Linked DNA regions of Oryza sativa Japonica Group. The protein of the gene in region 2 interacts with the protein of the main gene of each other region in a pairwise test. Links are inferred from orthologs where the notes say so. Each region holds a gene or a part of one and is shown on either strand. Other genes may lie near its edges.

Region 1 (3,757 bases), on a different chromosome or scaffold from region 2:
TGAACCATCGTACAACATTATAAATTGGCCTTTTCATTCTCATATAGGGCTGAATTATGTTTTTAGCATTCTTCCCTTTGAGATGTACTACGGCTTACCCATAGCAGCCATGAAATTGAGCACTCCAACTAAGCAGAAGAACTAGGGAAATCTCTCTCTCTCTCTCTCTCTCTCTCTCTCTCTCTCAAAAAAAAAAGAATAAGAAGAATAAAAACTAGGGAAATACTCCCTCCGTTTCAGTTTATAAAACAACTTTGGTCAAAGTCAAACTGTTTCAAGTTTAAATAAGTTTATAGACAAATATAGTAATGTTTATAATACTAAATTAGTTTCATCAAATCAATAATTGAATATATTTTTAGAATAAATTTGTCTTTGGTTCAAAATGTTACTACCTTTTTCTATAAATTTGGTCAAACTTAAAACAGTTTGACTTTGACTAAAGTTAAAACGTCTTATAACCTGAAACGGAGGAAGTACAAGTTTACACTATCCTGTATGTAGATGTGCCAATGAGGGGTGTTTCCTTCTATCTTTTTTGAACAAATCTATGGGCACCATCTCGGTCCCTCGACCCGTTATGTTTTTGGCATCAAATGAACTAAAAATAGCTTGATCTTATTTCCATGCAATGGATCAAACTTGGGGCAAGTTTGGACAATGACGCCACATAAAACCCTCTTTTAGCAAGGTGGGGCTACAAATAAAACACACCATCAATCTATAAACAAGTATCTCAGGGGAAAGGTCTCACATTTGAAACTAATATTGCAACTCTCGACTTTCCAAAAAGGAAAATCATTAACCATTGGCATATACCCTTGAAAAAGCTCCAGTTGCCATCTTACTTGCCTATGCAACTGCCCAACTACAAGAATTATAGTACAAGCACTCTCTAAGAATACCACAAGTTAGCTTCTGAAGAGCATAGATATTCATGTCATGACAAACATGTCTACTGTACAACAAAAAAGAAAAATCGGCTAAGTAGATCACTCCACAATTGTGCGAGTAGATACTAGCGGTTACATATACACGAACGTATATATAAACATAGTTAAAATTGCTATATATTACCATAAAGCTATCGAGATGCGCTTAATTCCTTATCCATGGAGACTAGGGTGTGTGCCTCCGGTTTTTATTTTTTTTCCCAAAGGCACGTACACGTGTGTGTGTTCGAGTTTCATCGCGATTCGATCGTTGTCTACTGTTTTTTAATAATACAACAGATGTCCTAATCATCCACGCATGCATAACCCACAATCCCCCAGCATCATCCATCCCTTCCCAATTCCCAAATCACCACCTCTCTTCATCACTTGGGCTCCAGCCTCCTGCAGCCCCAGCCAAGCTAAGGTAAGCTCCATCTGCTTCTGATACACACACTCACACACAAAGCAGCAGCCAGCATCAGCAGCAGCAGTGTGAAGCAAAAATCTCTATCTCTCTCTCTCCTCACTAAAGCACAAATCCTACTCTTATCATCCTGTCTTCTTGCCTCCCTTCTGCCTCCTGCTCACCAAGCTTCCCACACAAACCCAACAAGAGAGTGAGAGAGGAGCAAAAGCTTTGGCTGGCCGTCCCCCCTGTTAAAATGTGATGTCCAATCCATGGGATTGCGTCTAGTTTAGTCCCCCACTCCTCTCCTGGGTCAGTCCCTCCCTGGCCACCACCTCTTCTTCTTGCAGCCTCCTCCTCCTCCGGGGCCTTCTTCTTGTTGATTCTTTTGATGGTTTTTGTGTTTCTTGTCGACCTAGTTATGGGATCCGGCGAGGTGGATGGACGCGCATTGGAGCAGCAACAGTAGCGGCGGGGAAGAAGGCGGCGGGGGATCTGGATCCGAGGCACCACCACCACCGGGTCACCCACGGCGGCGACGGCGGCGGCGTAGGAGGAGGAGGAAGCGGGGGACAGGAGGAGGCAGATGAGCAGCAGCAGCAGCAGCACGACCACCACCGGCTTCTCCAGCTCCACCACCACCAGGGTGTGCAGCAGGACCAAGAACCGCCGCCTGTTCCCGTCTTCCACCTCCAGCCGGCGTCCGTGAGGCAGCTGTCGGGCTCCTCCGCCGAGTATGCCCTTCTCTCGCCCATGGGCGACGCCGGCGGCCACTCCCACCACCACCAACACGGCTTCCAGCCTCAGCTCCTCTCCTTCGGTGGCGTCGGCCACCACCACCACCTGCATCAGTTCACGGCGCAGCCACAGCCCCCCGCCGCGTCCCACACTCGGGGTCGTGGAGGTGGAGGTGAGATTGTCCCCGCGACGACAACTCCACGGTCGAGGGGCGGAGGCGGCGGCGGCGGCGGGGAGATCGTGGCGGTGCAGGGCGGGCACATTGTGCGGTCGACAGGGCGGAAGGACCGGCACAGCAAGGTCTGCACGGCGCGCGGGCCGCGCGACCGCCGCGTGCGGCTGTCGGCGCACACCGCCATCCAGTTCTACGACGTGCAGGACCGGCTGGGCTACGACCGCCCGAGCAAGGCGGTGGACTGGCTCATCAAGAACGCCAAGGACGCCATCGACAAGCTCGACGTGCTGCCGGCGTGGCAGCCCACTGCCGGCGGCGCAGGCGCGGGCAATGCCGCCGCGCCGCCGTCCTCCTCGACCCACCCCGACTCCGCCGAGAACTCCGACGACCAGGCGCAGGCCATCACCGTCGCGCACACCGCCTTCGACTTCGCCGGCGGGGGCAGCGGCGGGACCAGCTTCCTCCCGCCGTCGCTCGACTCGGACGCCATAGCCGACACGATCAAGTCCTTCTTCCCCATGGGTGGCACCGCAGGCGGGGAGGCATCGTCGTCCACCACGGCGGCGCAGTCGTCGGCCATGGGTTTCCAGAGCTACACGCCTGACCTCCTGTCCCGCACCGGCAGCCAGAGCCAGGAGCTCCGGCTGTCGCTGCAGTCCTTACCAGACCCCATGTTCCACCACCAGCAACATCGCCATGGCGGCGGCGGCGGCGGCGGCAATGGCACCACGCAGCAGGCGCTCTTCTCCGGCGCCGCCAATTACTCGTTCGGCGGCGGAGCCATGTGGGCCACCGAGCAGCAGGCGCAGAACCAGCGCATGCTGCCGTGGAACGTGCCCGACCCCGGCGGCGGCGGCGGCGCCGCCTACCTGTTCAACGTGTCGCAGCAAGCGGCGCATATGCAGGCGGCGGCTGCGGCGCTGGGTGGCCACCAGAGCCAGTTCTTCTTCCAGAGGGGACCCCTTCAGTCCAGTAACCAGCCCTCCGAGCGAGGATGGCCGGAGACCGTCGAAGCCGACAACCAGATGAGCCACCACCAAGGAGGGCTGAGCCCCTCCGTGTCGGCGGCCATCGGTTTTGCCGCTCCCGGCATCGGCTTCTCCGGCTTCCGCCTCCCCGCGAGGATACAGGGCGACGAGGAGCACAACGGCGGCGGCGGCGGCAATGGCGACAAGCCGCCGCCGCCGTCGTCTGTCTCCTCGGCTTCTCACCACTGACCGCAGCAGTGGCGAGCAGATGACTTCACCACCACCAATCCACCATGAGCAAACACCACACCATGTACCAGACTATCAGCTAGCTCCTCCACTTCCATCACGGTGAGAAAAAAAAACCGAGAATTCTCATGGCTAACCTGCATTAGTTCAGAATTTTTCTCGTGTTAGTTAGCTGATCAATCTTGTGCTGCTGGTTTTGGTGTTCTTGACATGCAGGAATTGTCGATTGCATTCGGGAGGAGCAAAGTTTGGAGGTAGCACAAGTGCACTACTACTGATGCTACTA
Region 2 (3,395 bases):
CACGAGAATGATGTGTGTCACTCTCTGTATCATTAGCTAAGCTCTGGGATGATGGGCTTTACTTACCTGCAGGTAGTACTGCTGCTTTTGCTGATATATTGCCGGGGGTTATCAGGGTTTCAGGAAAGCCATGTTGTGTACTCCTACATGTAATGTGTTCATAGAGATTACAGGGTACTGCTGCTACATATGCAGTGTGGAGGAATATTTTTTCAGTGCGTACTGGAGGTCTGGAGCCATGGCTCTGTTGATGTGCAGTATCCTGTTGCGAGTTCAACGATAGATGGAGGCGCTAACTCCAAGGTCAACCTCAGCATCAATCATTCTGGGTCTCGCTTTCGTTTGCATGCTTTGCCAATCATATATACTAGCATGTTGCCGCTTCATCGATGGCAGATATGGAGGTTTTTGATGGTCTCCTCATCGATAGCCCCCTCTCTGCCTGCGGCTAACCTAGCTAAATATATAGAGCAAATATATATGGCAAATCGATCTTAGAGATTGCGGACAGGAATATACTTTTCTGTGTTTTGCTTTGCTTTGCTTCTAGCTAGGTCTATATGATCATGCGCAATCATATATGCAGGTATATATAGATGGAGTTGTGACTAGCTAGCTAGTTATAGAGAGAATAGCACACAATATGCAATGCATTCAGACTAGCAGACAGCAAAGTAAGCAGGGTAATTACTTGTCAGACGAAGACTGTAATTTTAACACACTACAAAGTTCATAAATATTTCATTTGAGATATGACTATATGAGTCGATCAGATCGAGCTTCATATATACTAGACCATATATAGTACATATAACAAAGATATTTTTTTTTTATATTCTGGAGCAAATATGTAACTACATTTATGATGGCCAAATACCTGGTCAGATCTTGATCGCAACAGAGGGGGATCAGCAAGCTTGCTGAATTAATTGATCAGGTCAAGTCGTTAAAGCAGACAATTAGCAGTAAACTAAATATACAAAACTGAGAACAAAACTCGTACTGTAGCTAGCTACTCTTTAGCAAGCTCACATCTTTACGAGGAAAAACTGTATTAATTAGCTAAAACATCATTTTTCTCTCTAAAAAAAGGTATAGGTCAATGTACAAGTAACTGGAATTCGATTGGTATTCACAAATCACACATTCACGCTTGCTTTAAAAGGCATTGTAAAGGAAGATTAGTTTTCCCATATATTTCTTGTCAGTCGTCGTCATGAATTTCGACAGGAAAGGTGAAACAGGGGAGCTTTAGCTCCATGCGAGGGAGAATTTTTACCTTTATTACAGCTCCCGCTTTTTCGTGAATTTGATGATTACGATTTTACGAATGCTGACGCCTTTCATCACCAATCTACACATTCCCTGTCGCCCCCATGAAAGGGCACGCCTTTAATTCTCGACTGTTACCTCGATATCTCACACAAAACACACTCAAACCCTCGCTGCCTAGCTTTATCGCCTTCTCCCCGTATAAAAACACGCCAAGATCACGCTTGCTCGCTTAGCCCTAGCTACAACAATCTAATCTATCTCTGCTTCCAATTCCCATACAAAGCTAGAGCTAACTCTGAGTTAAACTGCGACATTACACAATGAGGCTTCACCATCTGCATGTGGCCTACCTGGATCACAAAGCGTCGTCGTCCTCGTCGTCTCCGGCGCCACCATCCATCTCCCCGTCGTCGATCCCCGGATCGGCCGCCTTCCCTGCTTTCTCCTTCAAATGCCTCCGCCCGCTCGCGCCCAAGATCTCGCTGCCGGAGCCGAGGAAGATGATCGCGCCGCCGGACTTCGTCGTCCCTCGCGCCAGAAACGCTTCCAAGCTGCTCAACTACACTGTTAGACACATCAAACCCTACTTGTTCTTGATCGATCGATCGATCAGGTTCATGATCGTGTATATATTTGGTTTGCAGGTGCAGGTGCCGGCGGCGGGGACGACGAGGTGGAACCCGTCGGCGGAGCAGATAAAGGTGCTGGAGATGCTGTACCGCGGCGGGATGCGGACGCCGAACTCCGTCCAGATCGAGCGGATCACGGAGGAGCTCGGCAAGTACGGCCGGATCGAGGGCAAGAACGTCTTCTACTGGTTCCAGAATCACAAGGCCCGCGAGCGCCAGAAGCAGAAGCGCGCCGCCCTCCTCACCCTCAGCACGCTCGACCCTTCCTTGCTGCCCGCTACCGCTAACGAAACCAAAGTAATTAATCAGCAAATTAACCGAATTTTAATAATCCATGAATCTGTAGACATTTCTGCCCGGCTAATAGACATTTTTTGCGTGTATATAGGAGGCACCGGAGAAGAAGGAGAAGGACGTGGAAGATGGATTGGCGAGCTGCAAGCGGCGGTGCAAGGCGTGGGGTGACGGCGCCGGCGATGGAGACGCGGTGGTGGCGACGGAGGCGGCCGGCGGCTGCACCGACGAAGTGACCCTGGAGCTCTTCCCGTTGCATCCCCAGGGAAAAGCTTAATTAGCTGCATGTGCATATATGTATACTCCGTCGATCGTCTGTCACGCATGGTATCATCATGGATTGGCCGGGTTGATGTTGATTGTGGAAATTAAATTCCCTCGTCTTTGCGTGTGCATTGTGTTGTAGTTGGTCGATCGTGTGTTTGGATTGCTTTGAACATATAATGCATTGTGTTGTGGCCGGGTGCTTGATCGGAAGAATATAATCAGTAGTTCCAAACTGGAATTAGCAGTTGCTCATATACATGCATGAATGGTGTAGAGATCACGCAACTATATATGCAAGGTTTGGATATGCTAATTAGGGCTTACACACGCGCATGCATTTCACCACCGGTTATTGATATACGTACTTATCATATATTCACATGTGTATGACATCATCCAGGCATGTAAGGGTGATTGCTATTTTTAAAAGGTCAAAGACACAAACAATTAAGTACATGTTCATATATCAACAAGTCACGTCAATCTCATAACATTATTTCATACTCCCTCCATTTTTTTAAATATGGCGTCGTTGATTTTTGGACATACATGTTTGACCATTTATCTTTATGTGTAGATACGAAAAACACAAGTTATGCGTGTACCTTCAATGGAAAAAATAAAATAAATAATAGTTGTGTTTTTTAATAATATGAATGATCAAACATATATCTCAAAATAAACAATATCATACATTAAAAACTAATTGAAATACTAGTTAGCGTACTTGGAGATTATTGATGCCCCCGCCTCCCCTTTTTTACTTAATGGGAAATAAAAGGTGCATGTATTATCCATCGGGTTTAGTAGTCCTTTTTTTATGGAATATCCATGCTAGCACAAATCTTAATGCAAATCAGACGATGGAAAAATCAAGTTTTTTTCTAACGGAAAACTTGTCGACGTTTTATTAAGCAAAATTGTTATCCA
Region 3 (2,864 bases), on a different chromosome or scaffold from region 2:
TTGGATGGAGGATTTTCAAATCAAAGAATTGAAAACTATAGTTTTTTTTTCTTTCCTACCGTGGTGTTCGGAATATATGAATGGCATAAAAATTCTTTCGGAAACTTTTCCTGAGTTTCTCTATTCTTTACTCCTTCAGTCGAAATCAAGGGAAAAATAAGGCCAAAGCTAAGGGAAACTTTCCCTGTGAAGTGAGCAACAATGAGGTGATTTTTAACCATAAAAAGGGAATTTATTACCTTGTTAGTTAAGCAACAAGAGTCTTATTTCATAAAATTCATGCGTTCCAAACACCTATACATGTTTTTTTTAAAAATTCTTCTATTTTACACGTGCATTTCTATGTTTATTGTTCTATATCTATATTTCTGCGTTTTGTTTTTTCTTAATCCAAACAAGGTTTTAAATGGTATGCAAAAACAAGCTCTGATCTCCCCTACTTCTAGAATAGTTTTTTGCACTTAACAGATCAAGACTTTGTTGCAGATTCATGAAACGCATGCAGATTCATTACCCATCATTCTTAAACAAAAAACTCGTTACCCATCAGATGATCAGACTACATGAACTTGGAAGAATTAAAGCTTTTGCATCACTGAAATGACCCATCTGCATGCAGATAGGCTAGAAATTTGCTCAAAGCTTGTGCATGACTACCGATGAGATTTCAAATGTCCCAAATAGGGATGGGCATGCACCCGCCAAACTGTTCGACCTCATGCAGATCGTCCATCTGGAACCCGCCATTGGCGCCCAGCGCGCCGCCGTGGCCTCCTGCGATGTCGCTCATGTCGGCAGCCAGCGCGTCCCAGTCGAACTCGCCGCTGCCGCCGAAGCCAAACGCGTCCGCCAGCTCGCCGTCGTCCCCGTGGACGGCGCCGTTCTTGCCTGTCGCGCCGTCGTCGTCGGCCTTGAGCACGCCTATCTGCTGCAAGAACTCCTTGAGGTCGAGCTGGGGCTTGTCGGCGCCGAAGCCCACGACGGCGGCGTCGTCGTCGCACGGCGCGCTCTCCATCGCCGCCGTGGCCGCCATCGCTTGCTCCAGCGCCTGGAAGCACGACATGGGCGGAGGCAGAGCCGCGGAGCCGACGCTGTTGGTGACGGTGGAGCAGGGCGACGAGGTGGGGAGAGGCGGCGGAGGCGGGTTGGCGCGCGTCGGCGTACGCGGCGGCGGCTTGGTCGGCGACGACGACGAGTTCTTGAGCTCCTGCAGCCTCTGGTGTATGACGTGGACGTTGTGCTGCGCGTTGAGGTTGAGGAGGCCGTAGGCGGGGACGGCGGCGGCGCCCCCCCTTGCGGCGGCGGCGGCGGCGGAGGCCGGGAGCCACCTGAGGCGCTGGTGCGCGGCGGCGGCGGAGGCGGCGCGGAGGTGGGGCAGGTTGAGGAAGGCGTCGGGGCCGTAGAGCCTCCGCGCGGCCTCGTCGTAGGCGAGCGCCGCCTCCTCGGCGGTGGCGAAGGAGCCGAGCCAGAGGCGCGTCCGCTTGTTGGGCTCGCGGATCTCGGCTACCCACTTCCCCCACGTCCGCTGCCGCACGCCGCGGTACTCGCACGCCGCGTTCTGCGGCCCGCCCTTCCCCCTCGTCGGCCCCTTCTTCCACGCCCGCTTCCTCCCGTAGCTCTCCATACGGCGATCGATCGCGCGCGCGCGCGAGACGCAGCCGGCGTACGTGAAATCACAGCGAAACGCACGTAATCTCACCTGGTTTCGCACGTACGCAAACACATATAGCTAGCTAGGCGCGGGCGGTGTTTTTGGGTTGGAGTTTGGAGTTTGAACGACTCGTCGTCGAAAGATGGGGGGAGGCGCGAGGTTTTTGAAGTGGGAGCGCGAGGGGTGGAGTGAAGTGGGAGTGAGGGGAGTGTGACTGAGTAGGAGGAGACGGGAGAGGGGGAGCGCGGCGCGGGATAAGTAGTGTGATCCGATGGGGTTGGGTGTTAAATGTTGTCACGGCCGGGCCGGAAGGGGAGAATGCATGGTGGTGGCGTTGTGTTGGCACGGTGGTGTCGCGCTTTCTGAGGACCTGTGAGCTTAGCGCGCATGTGACCGTTGGGGGCATCTCTAGGATGGATGATGTGCTGCAGTCTCTGCAGTGCATTGTTGCAAACGATTCTTTCTGGTTTAGGTTATTGTAATTATAAGAGGCTTCGATGGCAAATTTAATAACAAGATAACCTATGGATTTTGTAGGTTCAACGTTTGGAAATTGGAATTTGAGTAGTAGATATATCTCGCTAGTCATAATCTTCGTTATCTCTAAAAAAATCCTTGTAAACTTGAACAAGTTTACATCAGATTGTATCTGCAGAATTAATTAGCATATTGGGCACTAATCCTAGAGAACTACTTTGCTCTTTGCATACTTGATATATAATATACTACAGATGGTATCTGTAGTATTAGCATACTGGGCACTACCGATCTGTGCATGCACCGAGAGAACGTACGTACGGATAGGCGGATAGCATGGCGTGCATGTTGATGCTCCATGTACACAGTTTACTACCATATTACCATGGTATCAATGCGAGGTATAAAGATCCACCTCACAGCATTTTTGGCTCTCACGAGCGCGTCCACTTCACATGCTTCTCGTCCACGTCGGACAGGGTGCATGTGCCCATGTTTCCATGAACGCATGATTCTCGGCTCTCTAGCCCTCTTGCCTCCTGCAATCTGAGCTTATCGGTCTCCTTGTCTCTCTGACCAACGGTGAGCAATTCAGGATAGGATACCACCACAAATCTATGAAAAATGTACTGTACTGTATATGCTTCTGTGTGATCATGTAGTGTACTTCTGTGATTTATGTATTTAGCAGTGTTGGGACTTGGGAGTATGTAAGGAACTCCCAACACTGCTGAAT

What was found.
Region 1: the proteins of WUSCHEL-related homeobox 4 (region 2) and transcription factor PCF5 interact in binary tests that used the Arabidopsis thaliana proteins (3 or more experiments, as listed by UniProt). The link is inferred for Oryza sativa Japonica Group from reciprocal best matches to the Arabidopsis thaliana genes WOX4 and TCP4.
Region 3: the proteins of WUSCHEL-related homeobox 4 (region 2) and dehydration-responsive element-binding protein 2E interact in binary tests that used the Arabidopsis thaliana proteins (3 or more experiments, as listed by UniProt). The link is inferred for Oryza sativa Japonica Group from reciprocal best matches to the Arabidopsis thaliana genes WOX4 and AT3G57600.

The regions. Positions count from the first base shown.
Region 1 is NC_089035.1:6,231,744-6,235,500, reverse strand, and holds the start of transcription factor PCF5, read left to right. Parts: upstream 1-1,319; 5' UTR 1,320-1,653; intron 1,654-1,660; exon of another isoform or gene 1,661-1,760; 5' UTR 1,761-2,094; coding exon 2,095-3,471; 3' UTR 3,472-3,573; intron 3,574-3,687; 3' UTR 3,688-3,757. UniProt on the Arabidopsis thaliana protein: Transcription factor playing a pivotal role in the control of morphogenesis of shoot organs by negatively regulating the expression of boundary-specific genes such as CUC genes, probably through the induction of miRNA (e.g. miR164).
Region 2 is NC_089038.1:33,610,185-33,613,579, reverse strand, and holds WUSCHEL-related homeobox 4, read left to right. Parts: upstream 1-1,435; 5' UTR 1,436-1,595; coding exon 1,596-1,841; intron 1,842-1,919; coding exon 1,920-2,201; intron 2,202-2,292; coding exon 2,293-2,475; 3' UTR 2,476-2,788; downstream 2,789-3,395. UniProt on the Arabidopsis thaliana protein: Promotes differentiation and/or maintenance of the vascular procambium, the initial cells of the developing vasculature.
Region 3 is NC_089037.1:3,994,658-3,997,521, reverse strand, and holds dehydration-responsive element-binding protein 2E, read right to left. Parts: upstream 1,770-2,864; 5' UTR 1,625-1,769; coding exon 668-1,624; 3' UTR 521-667; downstream 1-520. UniProt on the Arabidopsis thaliana protein: Transcriptional activator that binds specifically to the DNA sequence 5'-[AG]CCGAC-3'. Binding to the C-repeat/DRE element mediates high salinity-inducible transcription.